Linked DNA regions of Arabidopsis thaliana. The protein of the gene in region 1 interacts with the protein of each later gene in a pairwise test. Each region holds a gene or a part of one and is shown on either strand. Other genes may lie near its edges. The genes, in order: RHA1, PRA1.B5, REP and p24beta2.

Evidence for each region.
Region 2: the proteins of RHA1 (region 1) and PRA1.B5 interact in a two-hybrid assay, tested with the Arabidopsis thaliana proteins (one large-scale study listed by BioGRID).
Region 3: the proteins of RHA1 (region 1) and REP interact in a two-hybrid assay, tested with the Arabidopsis thaliana proteins (one large-scale study listed by BioGRID).
Region 4: the proteins of RHA1 (region 1) and p24beta2 interact in a protein complementation assay, tested with the Arabidopsis thaliana proteins (one large-scale study listed by BioGRID).

The regions. Positions count from the first base shown.
Region 1 is NC_003076.8:18,242,650-18,246,979, reverse strand, and holds RHA1 (Ras small GTP-binding family protein), read right to left. Parts: upstream 2,718-4,330; 5' UTR 2,486-2,717; coding exon of another isoform or gene 2,447-2,485; 5' UTR 2,312-2,446; coding exon 2,249-2,311; intron 2,131-2,248; coding exon 2,053-2,130; intron 1,957-2,052; coding exon 1,789-1,956; intron 1,658-1,788; coding exon 1,609-1,657; intron 1,502-1,608; coding exon 1,428-1,501; intron 1,213-1,427; coding exon 1,119-1,212; intron 1,021-1,118; coding exon 920-1,020; 3' UTR 530-919; downstream 1-529. UniProt on the Arabidopsis thaliana protein: Involved in the trafficking of soluble cargo proteins from the prevacuolar compartment to the central vacuole. Involved in vacuolar transport of storage proteins with EREX as effector. Regulates membrane trafficking to protein storage vacuoles (PSVs).
Region 2 is NC_003076.8:240,709-244,159, reverse strand, and holds PRA1.B5 (prenylated RAB acceptor 1.B5), read left to right. Parts: upstream 1-1,837; 5' UTR 1,838-2,046; coding exon 2,047-2,718; 3' UTR 2,719-2,948; downstream 2,949-3,451. Other genes in the region: AT5G01650 (Tautomerase/MIF superfamily protein), read left to right, coding at 127-237, 712-912, 1,037-1,093; BRCA2B (BRCA2-like B), read left to right, coding at 3,249-3,402. UniProt on the Arabidopsis thaliana protein: May be involved in both secretory and endocytic intracellular trafficking in the endosomal/prevacuolar compartments.
Region 3 is NC_003074.8:2,034,408-2,039,779, forward strand, and holds REP (Rab escort protein), read right to left. Parts: upstream 3,385-5,372; 5' UTR 3,256-3,384; coding exon 2,540-3,255; intron 2,420-2,539; coding exon 2,297-2,419; intron 2,182-2,296; coding exon 2,082-2,181; intron 1,997-2,081; coding exon 1,958-1,996; intron 1,874-1,957; coding exon 1,621-1,873; intron 1,520-1,620; coding exon 1,444-1,519; intron 1,338-1,443; coding exon 1,145-1,337; intron 1,061-1,144; coding exon 977-1,060; intron 902-976; coding exon 794-901; 3' UTR 506-793; downstream 1-505. Other genes in the region: AT3G06545 (uncharacterized protein), read left to right, coding at 3,905-4,403, 4,494-4,570; RWA2 (O-acetyltransferase family protein), read right to left, coding at 5,001-5,234, 5,325-5,372. UniProt on the Arabidopsis thaliana protein: Substrate-binding subunit of the Rab geranylgeranyltransferase (GGTase) complex. Binds unprenylated Rab proteins and presents the substrate peptide to the catalytic component composed of the alpha subunit RGTA and the beta subunit RGTB.
Region 4 is NC_003074.8:2,453,230-2,457,450, reverse strand, and holds p24beta2 (emp24/gp25L/p24 family/GOLD family protein), read right to left. Parts: upstream 2,213-4,221; 5' UTR 1,983-2,212; intron 1,825-1,982; coding exon 1,627-1,824; intron 1,389-1,626; coding exon 1,202-1,388; intron 1,126-1,201; coding exon 1,018-1,125; intron 933-1,017; coding exon 799-932; 3' UTR 533-798; downstream 1-532. Other genes in the region: AT3G07690 (6-phosphogluconate dehydrogenase family protein), read right to left, coding at 1-219; AT3G07670 (Rubisco methyltransferase family protein), read right to left, coding at 2,834-2,920, 3,021-3,143, 3,235-3,366, 3,453-3,555, 3,659-3,831, 4,014-4,094, 4,196-4,221. UniProt on the Arabidopsis thaliana protein: Involved in vesicular protein trafficking. Mainly functions in the early secretory pathway but also in post-Golgi membranes.

The DNA.
Region 1 (4,330 bases):
TAGGTCAATATTTCACAAATACTGAAACAAACAAGTCCAACTAAAGGAAAAGCTTGTTGTACACAACATATAAAACATGTTGCAAATGGGAAACAGGTTTGGAAGACACGTGGGAAGTGGAAGGGATGGGAGTCTCCGATCACCCACAGATCGTTGTGACGTCTTTGAGACGTTGGAAAGTTTCAATTCCGGCCAAAATTTGTTCAATCGGCAGATCTCAATCTTGGCCCAAAGATACAAAGGCGAAATTCATATTTTAGCTTTGACGAGAATATGACTCCACTTTATTCAAATTTGTGAATCTTCTTCTTCAAACAACAGCTTTTCAATCTTCAAGTTGCAGTTCATCAATTGGAAATCGAAAGCTTTGACAAGAATATCATTCCACTTAATTCATAGCCGGACGAAGATGCTATCGAAGTGAGACCAAAGTCATTGGAGAAGAACGCCGGCAAAATCTGAACGGAAAAACTTCTTTCTCTTTGAAAGATGAAAGAAGAGAAGGGAGAGAGAAGCAATGCCACTTTTTTTTTTCAAAGGTGTTTCTTTTATTGATATATACATTCATATTACAGCATTCCAACAATGGAAAAAACATTTTGGAGATTTAAGTAATACAAAAGATAATAAGCCTATAAATCTGAGCATTCACTTAAAACATAAACGAAAGATAAGCACATTTTTTTCGGACTAAGTTTTGTTTTCTAATTACAAAAGAGATATATATATATAAATCTCTCCAAATACAAATATCTTCAGATTTCACAAAGGCAGAATAAGTATCATCATGATATACACTGTTGTTGTTGTCAATGCAAGCAAAGTAAAGTAACAAAGACGAAGAAGAAGCAAACACATGAAAGTCCAGATGTTCTCTACTATGTGACTAACCAAATGAGATCTCTCTTCAGGTACGAATCTAAGCACAACACGATGAACTCACTGCCGTAGCCCCTGGCCCGTTTGGGAGAACCATTCCTGTCGGGTTTTCAGCTGGCTGTACACGTGGTAGCCTTTTCGCTGTAGCGGTTTGAACAAGAGAAACAAAAGTGAAAAAGGGATTTAATTGAAAACAACTAATTGTTGGAAATAGCTTTCTTGATGAAAGAATGACTCACCTATTTCGTAGAATATGTCTTTGACATTTGTTGCGGTCTTCGCTGAGGTTTCCATAAAGAAAAGGCTGTTCTCTTGAGCATATATCTCTGCCTCCTGTAAATAACAATATCAAGAACTACTTAACAACACAACTCAGTAATGAAAAAAACAAGTCGGTAGGTGATGTAATAGAAGATTTCACAGGCACCAGTCGAATCTCATCCCCGAGTGTTAGTTAACATTTTCTCCCGGTACTTTCGAATTTCATCAAGATTTTTGGCATTAGCAAAGCAAAATCAGACAGCAAAAGAAAGAAAGATTTAGTTTACCTCTGCAGACACCTTCCTTGCGTCTAATAAATCAGCTTTGTTTCCAGCAAGAGCCATCACCATATTAGGGTTACCTATTCACATGATCCACATTAACATATAATGATACCAAATAAACCACACCAACTATCAGAAAGTAGGAATCATAAACTAGCTAAAACCAAAGTCAGCTATTCCATACCTTGTGCCTGCAGTTCCTGAACCCATTTCTTCGCCCTCTCAAATGAGGCCTGTGGCAATAGAAAAACAAAAATTAAGCAAACCTAACTTTGCAGAGAGCCTTAAACTGCCACTAAAGTCCACTGATATTCTGTAAGTCAGTGCATTCGTGACTAAAAACACAAGGATCGTGAGTTCGTACTTGATTAGTAATGTCAAAGACAATAATAGCAGCAGCTGCACCCCTGTAGTACATTGGAGCCAAACTGTGGTATCGTTCCTGACCAGCTGTATCCCATATCTCAAACTTCACAGTCGCATCATTCACAGCCAATGTTTGAGAGAAAAAAGCTGCACCAATGGTTGATTCCTACAACAAAACGAGTATCAAAAAGTCAAGAATCAACCACAGGAACGAGAAGAAAACCTCTATCAAGATCACAGGAGGAAAATGCCACCAACCAACCTGAAATTCAACAAACTGATCTTTCACAAACCGTAGCACAAGACTTGATTTTCCAGCTCCAACATCTCCTAGTAATACCTGAAGCGCTTAACCAAGTTAACCACCAAAAACAAAATAAAGGGGGAAAAAAACAGATTTTTCTTCTGACTCGTTAGAACCCTAAAACAAAACTACCAGATCGAATAAAATCTATAACCTTTACTCCAAACCCTAGTTTTATACTGATAAACCATGCGATTTCTAATTCGATCACAATCATCCAATTTCAGATCAGAGAATTTGGTTGAAAATTCCCCAAATTGGAAACAGAACTAACTCATCGAAATCAACGATCTAATCAAAATTGACGATCATCCTTCAAAGGATAAGCAAAATCCAGAAGAATTAAACTGACCAATTTGGCGTTGATGTTCTTGTTTCCAGAGCTAGCCATGATTGACTGATTGATTGATCTGAAACAGTATTTGAAGCTCGAGAAACTTCTGCTAAAATAGAAACAAAATTGAAGATGGAACCACGCGTTGACAATCGTAAGACGGAGAAGAGAGACCGAAGAAGCTTCCGTCAACAAACAACCAAATTTCTCTCTTTGTATCTCTCTCTCTCTCTCTCTTGAAGACGAAAGCAAAAAAACAGAGAAGAAAGAAACAACTTTTTTATACGGCTCGTGAATATGACAAGAGGAGACTTATAACTAAAAAAACCACAAGATTATCGAAATTACGATAAATCCCTATATTTGTCTAAAATACTAAAAACGCCCCAAAAACAAAAATATGTTACACGCTGACCTTCATATATTGTAGACGATGTCTCTTAATAATAAAGTCGATAATTGTGTATAGTTTCGTTAGTATTTCATAGATTCTTTGTAAACCATGGTTAGTCTCCCTTTTTTCAACAAAATCCAAAAATTTTGGTGGTAGTGATGGGACAAAATGTACAACCATGTTCATTTCATAGTTAGCAATAACAACGAATAATAGCGATTACTATAAACTATAATGATTAAAAATAACGACTAAAACATGTTTTGTAATCTTTAGTCACAAGTTGTTAGTTATGTAGTCCTTGGTTCAAAAAAAATAACATTTTAAATTATGGATTAGTAGTAGTCAATTATTACTTATGATATTTGTCTTTATTAATAACAAATGAAATAAACACAAATATTGTCAATACAATAGAAGCATTGTGGCGAGTGTTTAGCCAAATCCTCAATAGTAGGTTGTTGTCTCACGCGTCAAAACTGGCCGTGTGATTTAATTTTGTCGGTCATGAAGTCGTATTGGACGGTTTAAGACGAGACTGTTTTACATGTTTTGGTACCTAACTCGAAGATACTATGAATCAAATTTCTTTGGTAGTCAAAAAGAAAAAAAACTTTCTGTGTAGTCGAACAAAATATCGCTATCTACACAAATGCTGAAATGCACGTTTTTCCATATGGGTTATGGGCTTTCATCAGTGGAGCCAATTATTTAGAATTGAAGACGAGAAATTAATTTTAACTTGTTTATTTTGAAGAACAAAATTGGATGACAAAACATTATGGATGTTCAGAATAGCTATAAGATGTTATTGCTAAGTACCATTTTTGAAGGATAGCTATAACATGTTAGTAAAAAAAACTTGTCTATAACTTATAATTATAGTGAAATGACGGAATAACTGAATAATTATTAGTGGAATGAATTGAACTGAATAAATTAGTTTAATGGATGAAAATATAGTTCTAGTGGATTAATCATGTTTTTTTCTAGGTATATTGACATGCTAGTAGCCTAGTAGTATACAGCCGAATTACTTTTCGAAAACGTGAAATCGAAAAAAATTTGATAAATATTTTGAATGTAAAAAAATAGCGTTTGAAAACGTGACTAAGCGATATACCATTCATCCTTATAGTAATTTTTTGCTTAGGGAGTTTTTTTTTAGAGGAATGTTCATTCTATTACATTTAACGTAAATGGTAAACTTTTGTCAAAATATTACAAATGTTTCATCCAATCATAATCTATCCATCTAGGCTCTAAATACACATCTATTTTCACGGGAACATCAAAAACGTTACACATGTATACTGTGTGTGTATGCATTAATTTGTGGTGTATAAACAAAGAAATTTTAACAGATCATGTTGTTTTGTCCCTTTGCACAACTGAAAGTCTAATACACCTCGTATTCCACGACGATTTGTTCCCAAGTTCCATCTTCCAACTCATTCTCTCTATATATAGTAAAGTCTCCACCTCAGGAATAATCATTAATCCAAAAG
Region 2 (3,451 bases), about 18 Mb from region 1:
TTGGGCCTAAGCGAATAAAAAAGGTTTAAGGATAAAAGGGGAAAATTCCTGGGTGGTCTTACTCTCTTTATCCGCTTGACTAAAAAAAATTGGCGTCGAGTGATAGAGACGAAGAAGAAGAAGAAAATGCCGTGCCTCAACCTCTCCACCAACGTTAACCTTGACGGCGTCGATACATCTTCCATTCTCTCGGAAGCTTCCTCCACCGTCGCGAAAATCATCGGCAAGCCTGAGAACGTAATCCCTTTTTCTCTCTCGATTTAACCTCTAGTTCGTTTCGTTCTGTTCGAATTTTGTTTCGATTCTTCGTTTTCTCCTGAGATTTGCCTTGTGTGCGTCTTTATCTCTTAATCATTTTCTTCTCCTTATTGAATAACAGCGATTCGAGTGTTGTTTTCTTCACATGCATGATATAGAAACCCTAAGCAATTTTATCTCGTTGCTCCGTTCTATTCTAGTGGTTCACATTTCCGGAGTCTTCTCTTGACTTATTTGTACAATCTTCGTTGGGGTTCTTCTTTTTTATTTTACCACGATTTCTAGGCCATTCCTGGCCCTTGAATTTCTCATTGCTGAAGTTTGTTTTCAAAAACAATATTGGTCTGCTTTGACGATTGCTTGTTTATGTTAGTGATGTTTAAATATTTTTGTCCTGTAATGTTGTTTCTTAGATCATTATCTGATTGCATTGTTCATTGTGGTAATTTGCAGTATGTGATGATTGTCTTGAAAGGCTCAGTGCCTATGTCATTTGGCGGGACCGAGGATCCTGCAGCTTATGGTGAATTAGTTTCTATCGGTGGCCTTAATGCGGATGTGAACAAGAAGCTAAGCGCTGCTGTTTCCGCCATTCTTGAGACTAAGCTATCGGTGCCCAAGTCTCGATTCTTCCTCAAGTTTTATGACACCAAGGCAAGCAATTCCCTCTCTCTGATAACTTTTTTGATGTAGTGACATAACATATGCAAATGTGTTAATGATTTCATATGCCCGATATGCGTCCATGTCTCATTTTCATTGTTCGTTGTCTCTCTAGGACCATCAAAGTCAAGAATATGCACAATGTTTACACGCTTTACACCAGCACTACTAGGTCATGAATAGGGAACAAATACATCTTATGTGTGTAAGTTCATCATCATAAGACGGACCTATAACTTTTACTCATAAACTAGGCATTATAAACAATTAAATCAAATGCATAAACCGTTCCACTACTCGAATTCAATCTTTACACCCACACTGTTGAGTTATTTAGGAGATTCGTTCAACTTCTCTAAATCCGTTGTCTAACTGGCTTAGAGGGTCATCCATCATCTGGAGTGTTTATGCCTATAACCACCTGATATATCAATTATACATTTCTTTTCTCGTGTGGTTCTTCTTGCAGGGATCCTTCTTTGGTTGGAACGGGGCGACTCTTTAATTCCGTGGTAGGTGATTAGTGTGATTGTCTTGAAATGTATGATCTACTCTCATCGATCAAGTAACTTTGAACTACTTCGTATTGTAAACATATCTAAGGTTTGATGGAGTTGCATTAAGAAATAACATTTATGCTATATATGATGCTACAACTTACTATCAGGGTAAACAATGGTTATTTAGTCTTTGTCTACTCGTTAGATATAATTATGTTTAGAATTCGAAGATGAATGTTATCAAAGAAAAAAGGATTTGACATTGTCAAGTCTACTACTCCATATGACAGATCAACATTGTGTTAAAAATATTTTCTATTAGGGAAACTTCCTGTGACTGGAACATTAATGGTCAAATGCACTTTGCCTAAGTAATCAAGAATTATTGTATAAACTACGTTAAGCAAAAAAATAACCTGAGTTATAATATCAGGAGGTTATTTTTATTTTTATTTTAGCAAATGAATATAGATTAGCTATCAGATGAAGCAAGGTGTATAATCAAAGTTGAAAGACGCGTAATTGTGATCCTATATATACATAACACTACCGCAACTTCAGCAACCTCTAAATCATTCGTCTCCTAAAATTTTCCAATCTCAAAATCCCAAAAGAACAAAATCGAATGGTGTCAACAAATCCCCCTGTTCTTCCAATTTCCACCACCGCAACAGACACCACCAATCAGCCTCCGATTGTAACCGCTGTGGTGGAATCGCAACCTCCAGTCGTCCGTGCATTTGTCAACGGTGTGACCGAGACGGTCTGTGGTGGTCTATCTCGTAGCCGTCCGTGGTCAGAGCTCCTCGATCGATCCGCTTTCACAAAGCCTGACTCTCTCTCCGAGGCCGGGACGCGATTCCGGAAAAATTCCTCTTATTTCAGGGTGAATTACGTTTGCATTGTCGCTCTGATCCTTGGTTTCTCTCTTCTCGCCCACCCATTCTCTCTCATCCTCCTCCTATGTCTCGCCGCTTCCTGGCTCTTCCTCTACCTCTTCCGTCCATCAGATCGTCCTCTTATCCTCTTCGGCCGATCTTTCTCCGAATACGAAACTCTCGGTGGCCTAATCCTCTCCACGATCGCAGTGATCTTCTTCACAAGCGTCGGATCTGTATTGATATCCGCTCTCATGATCGGAATAGCAACAATCTGTGTCCATGGCGCCTTTAGAGCTCCCGATGATCTCTTCCTCGACGAACAAGATCATGCCGCCTCCGGATTCCTCTCATTCATCGGTGTTCCCGCGATCCCCTCTGTAGCACCCTCTGCCTCCTCAGCGGCTTCCCCCGTGTAAATTATAGTTCTCAGAATCTGGCGTGTTTAGAGATTTGAAGGTGGAGATTGTTGCAATGTAATTTTCTGTGATACTTGACCATTGTTGCAATGTAATTTTCATTGAAGTCAGTCACCAATCACATTGAACAGATGTTTTAAAATGTCCACGTAAGCAATTATTGTTTGGAACGATTTCGGGTTAGCATTCGTGCCGTTAGTTACCGCAATAAAAGGCCGTGGCAATATCACACTTGTCTTGGAACGCTATGTCCGTAAAAACCAAGCCCAAAGTTAAAATAAAACCACGCGTCTCATAATTTCGGCCCAAATCTTTTTCAACTTTCCCGCCTTTGTCAGAACTTTTAACTTTTTGGATTTTTGGTGATGATTTTGGTTTGGGGAAAGAAAATAAAACAATAAAAATAAAAATTCCGCACTCCCGACTCCTCCCTCTTGGCGTGGTAGGCAATTCTGAATCGCGAGGTTTAGTTCTCCGGCTGAATCATATAACGACGAATCGGAAAACTTGGAAACCCTAGAACTGAATAAATGTCGACGTGGCATTTATTTTCCGATTCCAGCGGCGATGGTTTCCGGTGGGAAGTCGCTGGCCGGATTCTTCAGTCCGTCTCGGATTCTACGCCAACCAAGGCGCTCGAATCGACAGCTCCTCTACCTTCCATGGCCGATCTCTTGCTCCAAGGTGATTCTTCGTATCTTCCTTTTCTTTGTCGAATCGTGTTTGTCATGTG
Region 3 (5,372 bases), on another chromosome or scaffold:
ATCCCCGAAAAGGAGGGTTATAGTCCACGGATTATAGTCTCACGCGCCGAAACGCGCCTGTGATGCGAGTGGTTTTGTATTTTAAATTCCTACACGCGTGTAGTTCTGTTTTAATCTTTAATTGATAGAATTATTTCGGGTCCAATTCCGACGCTAATTCAGACCCAATGGGCTTTAAATTCTGTCAAGTGTCAACCTTTGGGATTGGATAAACGATTGACGATTCTCTCCAGAGAATAACCAAACCCTCATAATTGGGCCTCATAATGAGAGCTTGGCACCACATTACATATGATAACATTAACCCAACGATCTCGAAAAAAGCATTCAAATTCTTAATCTTGACTTCAAAGTCAAATTTCCTAGTCGATAATGATATCTTCCTTGATTTTTTAAGTTTCTGGACTTGGCCATGAAAATCAGAATTGGAGTCGAAATATACGAAATCGGAAGTGTTTATTCAAAGAGAAACATAGAACGATTATGGTTGTGATCGGTAAAAGATGTCTGAATAAATTAATTTCTATACAAATTCATTATTTCTTTTTAGTCGTTGATTTAAAGTTTGTGGAGTTTCAATGGTTAGACAAGCGGTCGTGGATTAATCACTTCTTCTCAATCCTTTATTTCTTCCCTAATCATAGTTGCTCTCTAGTGAATAAGTAAAGAAAATGGCTCACCCTCCCTCTGCCAATCTTCCTGCTTCCCCTCTAATAACGGGGTAACTATATGTTACAATCAAATAAATAAATGGGTATTCTAAGTCTTTAAAACCAATGGTTTCATTCATCAATCAATCTTCTATTTCAACACCACCATCGTTTTCCTCCTCCGTTGTGTTCTCCGCCGGTGAGGTCTCTTCTTTAAATAATTCTTCACTCCCCATGAGCTTTTCATATAGCTACCAAATCCAATATGATAACATTATCAAAACCATAACTTAATGAGATAACTGCTGTAAGGAGCTTCTACTAACCTTCACGGCTGATTCCACTATCTCATTGTAGTTCAAGTTTCCATCTGGACTAGGCATGGAACTGATCGTACCTCCAAATTCACCCTGATCCAAATCAAACTTTTATTTAGTGAAAATGACATTACCAACGTCGAAATGAAAAGGTAAATTCCCAATCACATTTTCCACCTTGACTAGCTCTTGCACGTACAGTGCTCTCCAGAGTAGAATAGGTTTTGTCTCAGAAGTATCATTCTCAACAACGGAATCGCTTTGACGATTCTCGGGAACAGGCAAACTGATGAGATTACTCATGGCTGATAATAGCGCCTTTATCCCTTGGTCATCATTGTCGCACAAAGTTGAAAGATATAAAACATGCCTGCAGCAGCAAATATATATGGCTTAGAGAACAGTTAAAGCTAAGCAAATGGAAAGAAACAGAACTAAAATGGGAAAAGATCATCTTAGGCTAAACCACAACTTACATGTCAGCAGGACAAACCGCTAAACCACTACCAAGCTGCAGAACCCGAATTGCAGTTAGCTGTTCTGGAAACAAAGCTAAGAGGAAAAAACTATTAATGTTAGAACCTTCAAAACGCAAAAGACGATATACATGTAAGTGAAACAACTAACTAGTGGGTCTTCAAAAATTAGCTTACATTTAGGTGGATAAACGACAAGAGCGTTTGATACATTAGCTTTCACAGAACCTCTAATGACGCATACTCCTCTTGCAATTTTCTCCTTATTGATCATCGACTTTGGGACAAGAACACTGAGAGTTTCATTTTGCTGATCTGTCAATGACGACAGAGACTCTAATCCAACAGTAACACATGGATCCAGAATCAACTTTTGGCTGAATATCTCTTGACCAGAAGCTAATCTAACCCCTTTGTAACCCCCAGTTTCCTGCAAAAAGAGTTTAAAATAATCAAGTAAGAATCCTTTCCGTCAACTAAACTTATCTTATGCTACAACTGTCAGCTAACTTGCCTTGTCTAAAAGCAGAGCAGTAATAGGCATCCGGAGAACCTGTGAAAACAATGAAAGACTAAATAAGTAACAAATACCACAACAGCAACACAGTACACAATGCAGAAAATTGTTCCAAACGTACATAGATACATCCTTTGACAGCAGCCCGACGACAAAAGGCTTGTGGAAGTTCTCCTTGTCCATAAATTGGGTATATCAACGCCCCAAGTGCGTTAGAAAACCTAAGGTAGAGAATCAAAAGCTAAATTATACTCAATATAACCAATGATAATGTAAACCAATAAGAAAGATGATCACAAATGTGTAAGAGCCAGGAATGAGAAAATGATGAATGACCTGCCCATAGATGTGATGTATAGAGCCAATCGATCTATCCCCTCTTTGGTCTTGAGTAAATGTCTACAAGTTTCCGTATTGTCTTGATCATAATCTAGCATCGCAATGGCATACAAGATGATCCTACACAGAAGAAGAGGAAACAAAGCCTTACCTATCAACATTTCAGAGACAAAATTCTAAGAAGCATTAAGCAGAGACAAATGTCCAAAGAGCTGCCATTAACAGAGAAGGAGGTTATACGATTTGATTTTGGGTGGTAAACGCATCTTTGACAAGAAGTCCACAAATGGACTCTCCATATCTTCCTCCGATATCTTGACTGTTGTTGAATCATCTTTTTCGGTAGAAGAAGCCAAGTGACTTTGAACAAGCTTGAAGAATTTCATGAGCTGATTCTTCTCCAACAGAGTCAAGCTCTTGTCCTTGAATATAGCAGCTCTCGAATCCGGCACATTTCGTAGCTCACCGCTCGAATCCCCAACGAAGCTGGCATCGATGCTCTTGAACTCAACGTAGTTGTTAGCTCCTGATTTCAGCATGAGATTAATTGATTCATCGGCACAGAAGACAACCCTAGGACCAGCCAAGTCAACGTTGAATCTTCTAGAGTGTTCTTCGAGGATCTCCGATTCGAAGCTCGAAATCTCCACGGAGGAATACAAGGATCGGTTAACGAGATCCACGGAGATAAAATCATGGTTGTTTGACGGAGGGAGAGGAGGAGATGACGGCGACGGAGGAGGAGAAACGGAGTTTGAGTGAAGGAAAGAAGTGAGATCGGGAAGGGAAAGAGAGGCGAAGTGAGAGCCGTAGAAGGGGTTAGGGTCGAGGTGGAGAACAGAACTACCGGAGGAGGAAGCAGCGGCGGCTAAGACGGACTCAGAGACTCCGGTGCCGACGACAATGAGATCGTAGTTGGAAGGATCAAGCGGCGGGTAAGGAGGGATGTCGATCATGGTGGCTCGAACAGATTTGTGTATCAAAAGTCGAACCAACGTGACTTCAGTAGCTTGATCGATACACGAGCGTTGAATAATCTGGGAAGATGTTGAGATGAGTGAGGAGAATCGAGGAAGAGGTTCAAGAGAAGAAGAAGTTTCTTCTTACATTACATATACAAACGTAATGGGCCTAAGATGTAAATGAATAAAAGAGGTAAGTGTGAATCGGCCCAACATGGCCCATCTTCTTAATCAACGCATAGACTATAGGGTCTACTGTTTTTCTTATGTTAGAAACTTAAAATATGATTTTTTTTTTTATATAAACGGTTTAATTGAAGAAAATAGAGTTTATACTTTCTTCGTTCACTTTACTGGTCAGTGGTCCACTTATAATGTGATTTTTTGAACTATTTTCTTTGTTGAATATAAAAGAATTTTATATATCTTGAAAAAAAAAAGTGTTAGATAAAGATTGCGAAGATTTCTTTTGTTTGTTGTGATTATGAAAATCTTCTAACCACTTTTAACTAATAATAGAGATATACCACATTCTTCTGGATAAAAGCAGATTTAACTAACTAAATAAAAGAAATCGAAAAACGAATTCACGACGACTATTAAATCTCCGAAACCCCATAGTCCTAGTAAAAACACACACACGATGGAGAAGAAGATTAGTGATATGGATGTGTTTGTTTGCAGAGGAATATGGTATATAATGACTCTACTCTCACTTTTTGGCCTCTCCAAATCACTCAATCTTCTCTGGCCACCTGGAGATTCATCGTCTCAGTCCTTTAGGGACGGTGCGGTCAGTGTCACAACATTCTACGCAGTGACGCTACTCAGATATCTTTTTTTCACCGCTCCTCCTTCCGCTTGCTACAAGGAGTTTACTACAAAGTTGGAGAGAGTACCTCAGGTTTTGTTTTCGACATTTTCCGCAAATTTAGCGTTGGCATTGCCCTTAATATATGAGCTATTGACAAACAAAGAGTTTGAATTGTCCATGTCGTTATTCACCATCTCGTTGTTCACCGGAGGGTTAGGGCTGATTCAGCTATCGGATAAGTTTAGGATGGAGATCGGACATGCTTTGTACACGCTCTTCCTCGGTTGGTTATCTTGTCTCTTTAGCATGTCTAACAATCTATACCGGGGTGACTATAAGGTACTGTTATTGTTTTTAATATCAGTACCTCATTTTTTGCTTTCCTTTGGGCCCGCGTATAATTTCTCCAAATGGGAAGACTCGGACACTTTCTCTGCCTACCGAGCAATAGAGGACAAGCTTGACACACATGCTATGACTACACTTTCTATCTAAGTATATCAATGTTTCCTTACATTAAAGTAATGGCTTTTGCAAGTCCATCATATTTTACTTTGATGTAAGATTAATCTGGATTTTATAGCTATACAATTACTCATATGGATTTCCTTTAACTTGTAATAGACAATAATAAGTCTTAACATCATCGTGAACAGAAACACAAATAAACAAGAAAGAACACCTTATTCATAAATAAATATACAGAAAGATGACATTACAGCAACATTGTATGCATCTACCTCTGATTTCTATCTTCGTATATCTACCATATCGCGTAGTTCAACTCCTATGAATTCATTCGAATAGTCCACTCTGGTCCGGTTCAGAAGTGCTTCACACCTGTTTGTTTCCAGTGAAATAATAAAACGTGAGATGGTTCAATCGAATATGAGAGGATGACATTCGTCCTCGCTTTGTGTATGCACTAACATATCAATGAACTCAAGTACCAGGGAAAAAAAAGCTTTCTCCCACACAAAAAGATAAAATTTTGACTTACCAGTTTTTGGGGAATTGTGATAAGAATAAATGAGAAAAAGTAGAGACAAGTGCAGATTATGAGTGCTGAGATCGTGTTGTAGACAAGGCGTTTGTCGTCCTTGGTTGGTATGAAGGCTGTTTTCAAAGTGTTGGTAAGCTCAAAGAGCCTATAAGAGATCTGAAAACAGAGCAACAAAAAGCCAATCAGTTTGTTTGTATCTGTCTGGCTTTCAACTTGTTTCTATCTGTTGTAGCAGGGTTTGCTTACAGCGACGTAAATCGAAGTAGTGAGCATGAAGTTCAACAATGGGTAATC
Region 4 (4,221 bases), on another chromosome or scaffold:
GCCTCCTCTTCTCCAGATTCTCACACTAACTTTGCCCCTAAACTTACCGTAATTTTCCTGCAACATTGCAATGAAAACGCTTCCCCAAGCACCAGCTCCTACACCAACGATCCTTAACGGGTCGTCATCAGCTTTACCCATTACTCTACGAATCTCATCAAGCCTTTCTTCCACCAATCTGCTCGGAACTGAATTCGTCTCCACCAAATGATCCATCATCAACAAAGCCTTATGATTTCTCTTTCAGTGACTCAATCCACTAAAAACACAAGCAAGCTATGGAACAAAATCGGACTTCTTGTCGGATTTATCAATGCTTAAAACTGGAGACGACTTTTTCAGGAAAGTTTGTGTTTTTATTTTATTTTCAGGTAACTTGTACGACGACTAAGAAAATGATAGCTGGCTTTATCTATCTACTCTGGGCCCAACTAACTTAGTCTAGTGTCCACTTTTATAACCTTCTCTATAAGAGTTCGAATCCAGTTAAGGGATTTTGAGTACTTTTGACACGTCTTATTCAAAGCTTGATCACATTGTTATTCTCTTTGTTTTAGGGAAAAAAGGTTTTAAGGAATCACTATTTTCTCTATTGAAATGAAAACCTAGCTTGTGGAAAAGTTGTCTGTTAATAAAGAGAAAAAAAAGAATTATCATCACGAGAGGATTAGTTCTTGAACATGGGAGAAAGCAAATCTTCCAATGAACTACGATCTGTCTGTAAAAAGGTTTTAAGTAAAGATTCCCTGGTACATTTTAAGGCAAAATAAGTTCAAAGTCATAATAAACTCGATACTTTTAGACACGAGACATGCCGAGTTTGCGTTCAAACAAGCGACGCAGAAGATAAACTTGGAGAAAACTTGCCCCAATCAGTGCAAACGACTCGAACAAAGCTTTGTGTACTGCTCTTTTGCTCATGTTCTCGTTCACTGCACAAGGAACAACCATATTCAAACCATCACTCAATATTGAAGTGAGAACAACAAATGTGGTTTTTAGAGGAAAAAATGTTACCGATAGCTTGACGATCGGTCTGAGCTTCTAACCAATGTTGTTCAAATTGGATGTTGTAAAGAGCCTCCTCTAACTTTGATATTTGCTCCATCAAGGGAGTGAAATGCTCTGCACAAAAACCATCTTCAGCTAAATACCTCATCACCAAACGAAACTGAAACAAAACTAAACAGATAATCCTTACCGTCCTTTGCGTGTTGATCGTAGTATGCAAAGTGACCAAGCTGTACATCGAAGTCAATGGTTTCATGATAAGGAGACTTGTTTGTGAAACAGAATCTGTAAACCCCTTTTTTTTGGACAACAAAATCATGCTTTGCGCTTATCTGCTCCCTGAAGTCATGAATTTGTTCGCCTGTTGGGCCATGTATCTATTCAAAATGCATCCAAAATATATCAACAACAACAACAACCACCAAATTAACCAGATGGTACAATATAACAGCTTTAAAGAGTAACCAAATTCTTTATCAATACATACTTCAAATTATCTACCAACATTAACAATGGAAATCCTAAGCATTGTTTAGGAATACCAATTCTATTGATTTTCGACGATTTTGCAATGTAGAATGTAGAAAAGTTCAATTAGAAGAAAAAAAGTCATACCACAAGATCTACACCATCCTCGTTAAAATGCCATTGAGAGTCAGACTTGATGACGACGAAAGAGACATGAAGCGTATCACCTTCATATTCAGCCTTGTGGGAGAAACATTCTTCACGGTCTATCACGAATCTAATCCCTAACGTAGCCTGGAAGCTCCATAAGAGCCCTAGTAATACGATCGTACCCTTCAAGCTCATCTGCCACAATAATTTCGAATTATATCAAAGCACAAAACGCAATTCAATCGTTTAGAAGAAGAATCGACTAGAGATTCCAAACCAAACCAAATTGAATTGTTCCAATTTCGATTCCTACGAGGTGATTAGGTTTGACACAGAGAGTGAGAGGGATTTACCTTCTTGAGAAGATCAAATCTGATGATTGATTGATTAGATCGATGGAAACTCGATCTGGTCGATGAGTGTTAAGAAAATTTGAAGATTGATCGGAGTAGAAGACGGTGGAGAGAATTGGATGAGAAAGAGCGAGCTCGTTCAGAATCGGACACGAAGAAGCCTGTTTTGACTCAAGGGGCAGTTTCGTTACCCGACAAGATCATCAAACTATAAACGACGTCGCTTGCTTACTCTTTGGGTTATTTGGTCAGCGGGCTTACGTGGCGTTATATCATTGGAGATAAAACATCTTTAAACCATTTAGATATTGCCACGTCATATTATGTCGAAAATGGAAACTCCATAAAATCAGTACGTTTCATTAGGAAGACTTTATAGGTTTCTCGTTTTTTACTTTGCCACAGTGGAATGTTTACTTGCTTTGCTAAAGAAACAAATGTTCTGACGTGTACCATCAGATTATCTTGTTTGCGGTAACAAGGAGTGTGAGTTTTGGTACGGTTTTCGTTATGAGTTGTAGTCAGATATATTCTTAATTTTCAAATTATCTTTGTTTGTTGGATCGATTATTTCAGTTCGATTCGGATCAAATACGAAGAACATGTTTCTACCCTTACTCTCTCATGCGTTTCCTTAATTAATCAATTTAGGTTCAGGTTTTGAGTTTATAGAAAATGATCAAATTACATATATGGCTGGACCAATATATTCCTATACGAGTGAGACAGATCCAACCATGCCTACACCAACGTTCAATTTTTTTGTAATAAAAAACTACATTTTTGGTTGAAGCACAACGAGGCCTACCTTTGATCCATCTTAAAGCTGTTGAAATGTCCTCATTCAACATTCACTTGAAGAAGTTCCTAAGTCCACTGAAGAGCCGTAGAGCCTTCAGCTCACCACTTCTGATATCTCTCAGTCTCCTCCTCAGAATCTGACCCAAACAAAACAAAAAAAAAAACACAGATTCCACAATATCATGGATCGATCCACAGACTCTTATCTATCGTATTGGCTAGAAAGTTGTTCCTTACGTATTGAGCACGGTACAGTATCCTGCGCTCACTAGTGGACAAGTCTACAGCTAGCTGTTTCAGAAACGCTTTTCGGTTCAACTGTTTTGGAGATGTTATGTCCAAATCCATTGATCCACTTTCCTACAATTAGATAATTGACAAAGCAAACTATAAGCAGATGGAGTGAAAATTTTCCCACAAAGAGAGAGAGATGAGCTGTTTTGTTACTTACCTTTAGAAATCGGCTGTACTTTGATATGCTTGTTTCGCATGAGTCCAGTATGAACTGCAATGCGTCTTCCTCGATTTCAGGATATTTTAGATCATTCTTTGTTGATGTCTTATTTGAAGCAGCTTTCGCCATCTGAAATGGATAATAATTGATAAGAGATGTATTATGAATTTGGGAAGAATTGGATGGTAAAAAGGGTCAAGATGGAGTTGCCAAACCTCTTCAAAGTTGTTTCTCATATCTGGAGGGCTCACCACAAGATAAGCATATGCCATTAGCTCCATTGGCCAACCCGTTATCCTTACGGGAAAGCATTGAGGTCTGCCAGAGAAAAGTTAACACAAACAATCAAAACAAAACTCAAGTTAATCAAGAGAGATCTACAAATTTGAGAGGGGAACATGGATGGTGGAGAATGGAATACGTCGATAATCCGTGTTTCTTTAAAGCATCCAGCTTTTCCTCGTAACACTTATCGTTTTTCCTAAGTGATAATGCTAGTTCTACTGAATCACTAGGATTGGTTCCTTCTCTGGGAACAAACCCATAAGATAACAATAGCTCTCCGTTAGATTTATTCCCATAGGATATGAAAACCTGCACAATGTCATGTTACTGAAACATATCAGAGACTTCAGACAACATTGGTTCCACTTTGGACTGACTTACTGAAGCGCTAAAAGGCAAACTGTGTAAACGGGACTTCTTTGTGTTATACACTGACTTATATTAAACTTCAATGCTCGCTCAGGTTATCTGAATGAATTTATCTTATTTACCTGCTCACCTGGTTGATATGGTCGATCTGTTGTAAAGACAACTCCTTTTGAAGATTTATCATAATCCAGGAACGTCTCAACCTTTCCAAGCAGATTTTGAAATATTGATTACCATAAGTCAATCATGCTTTCTGATTAGGAGAATCTAGGAGCTAATTGGTCATAAAGATAAGTAGAAGTACCTCACAATTATGATTAAGCATATCTG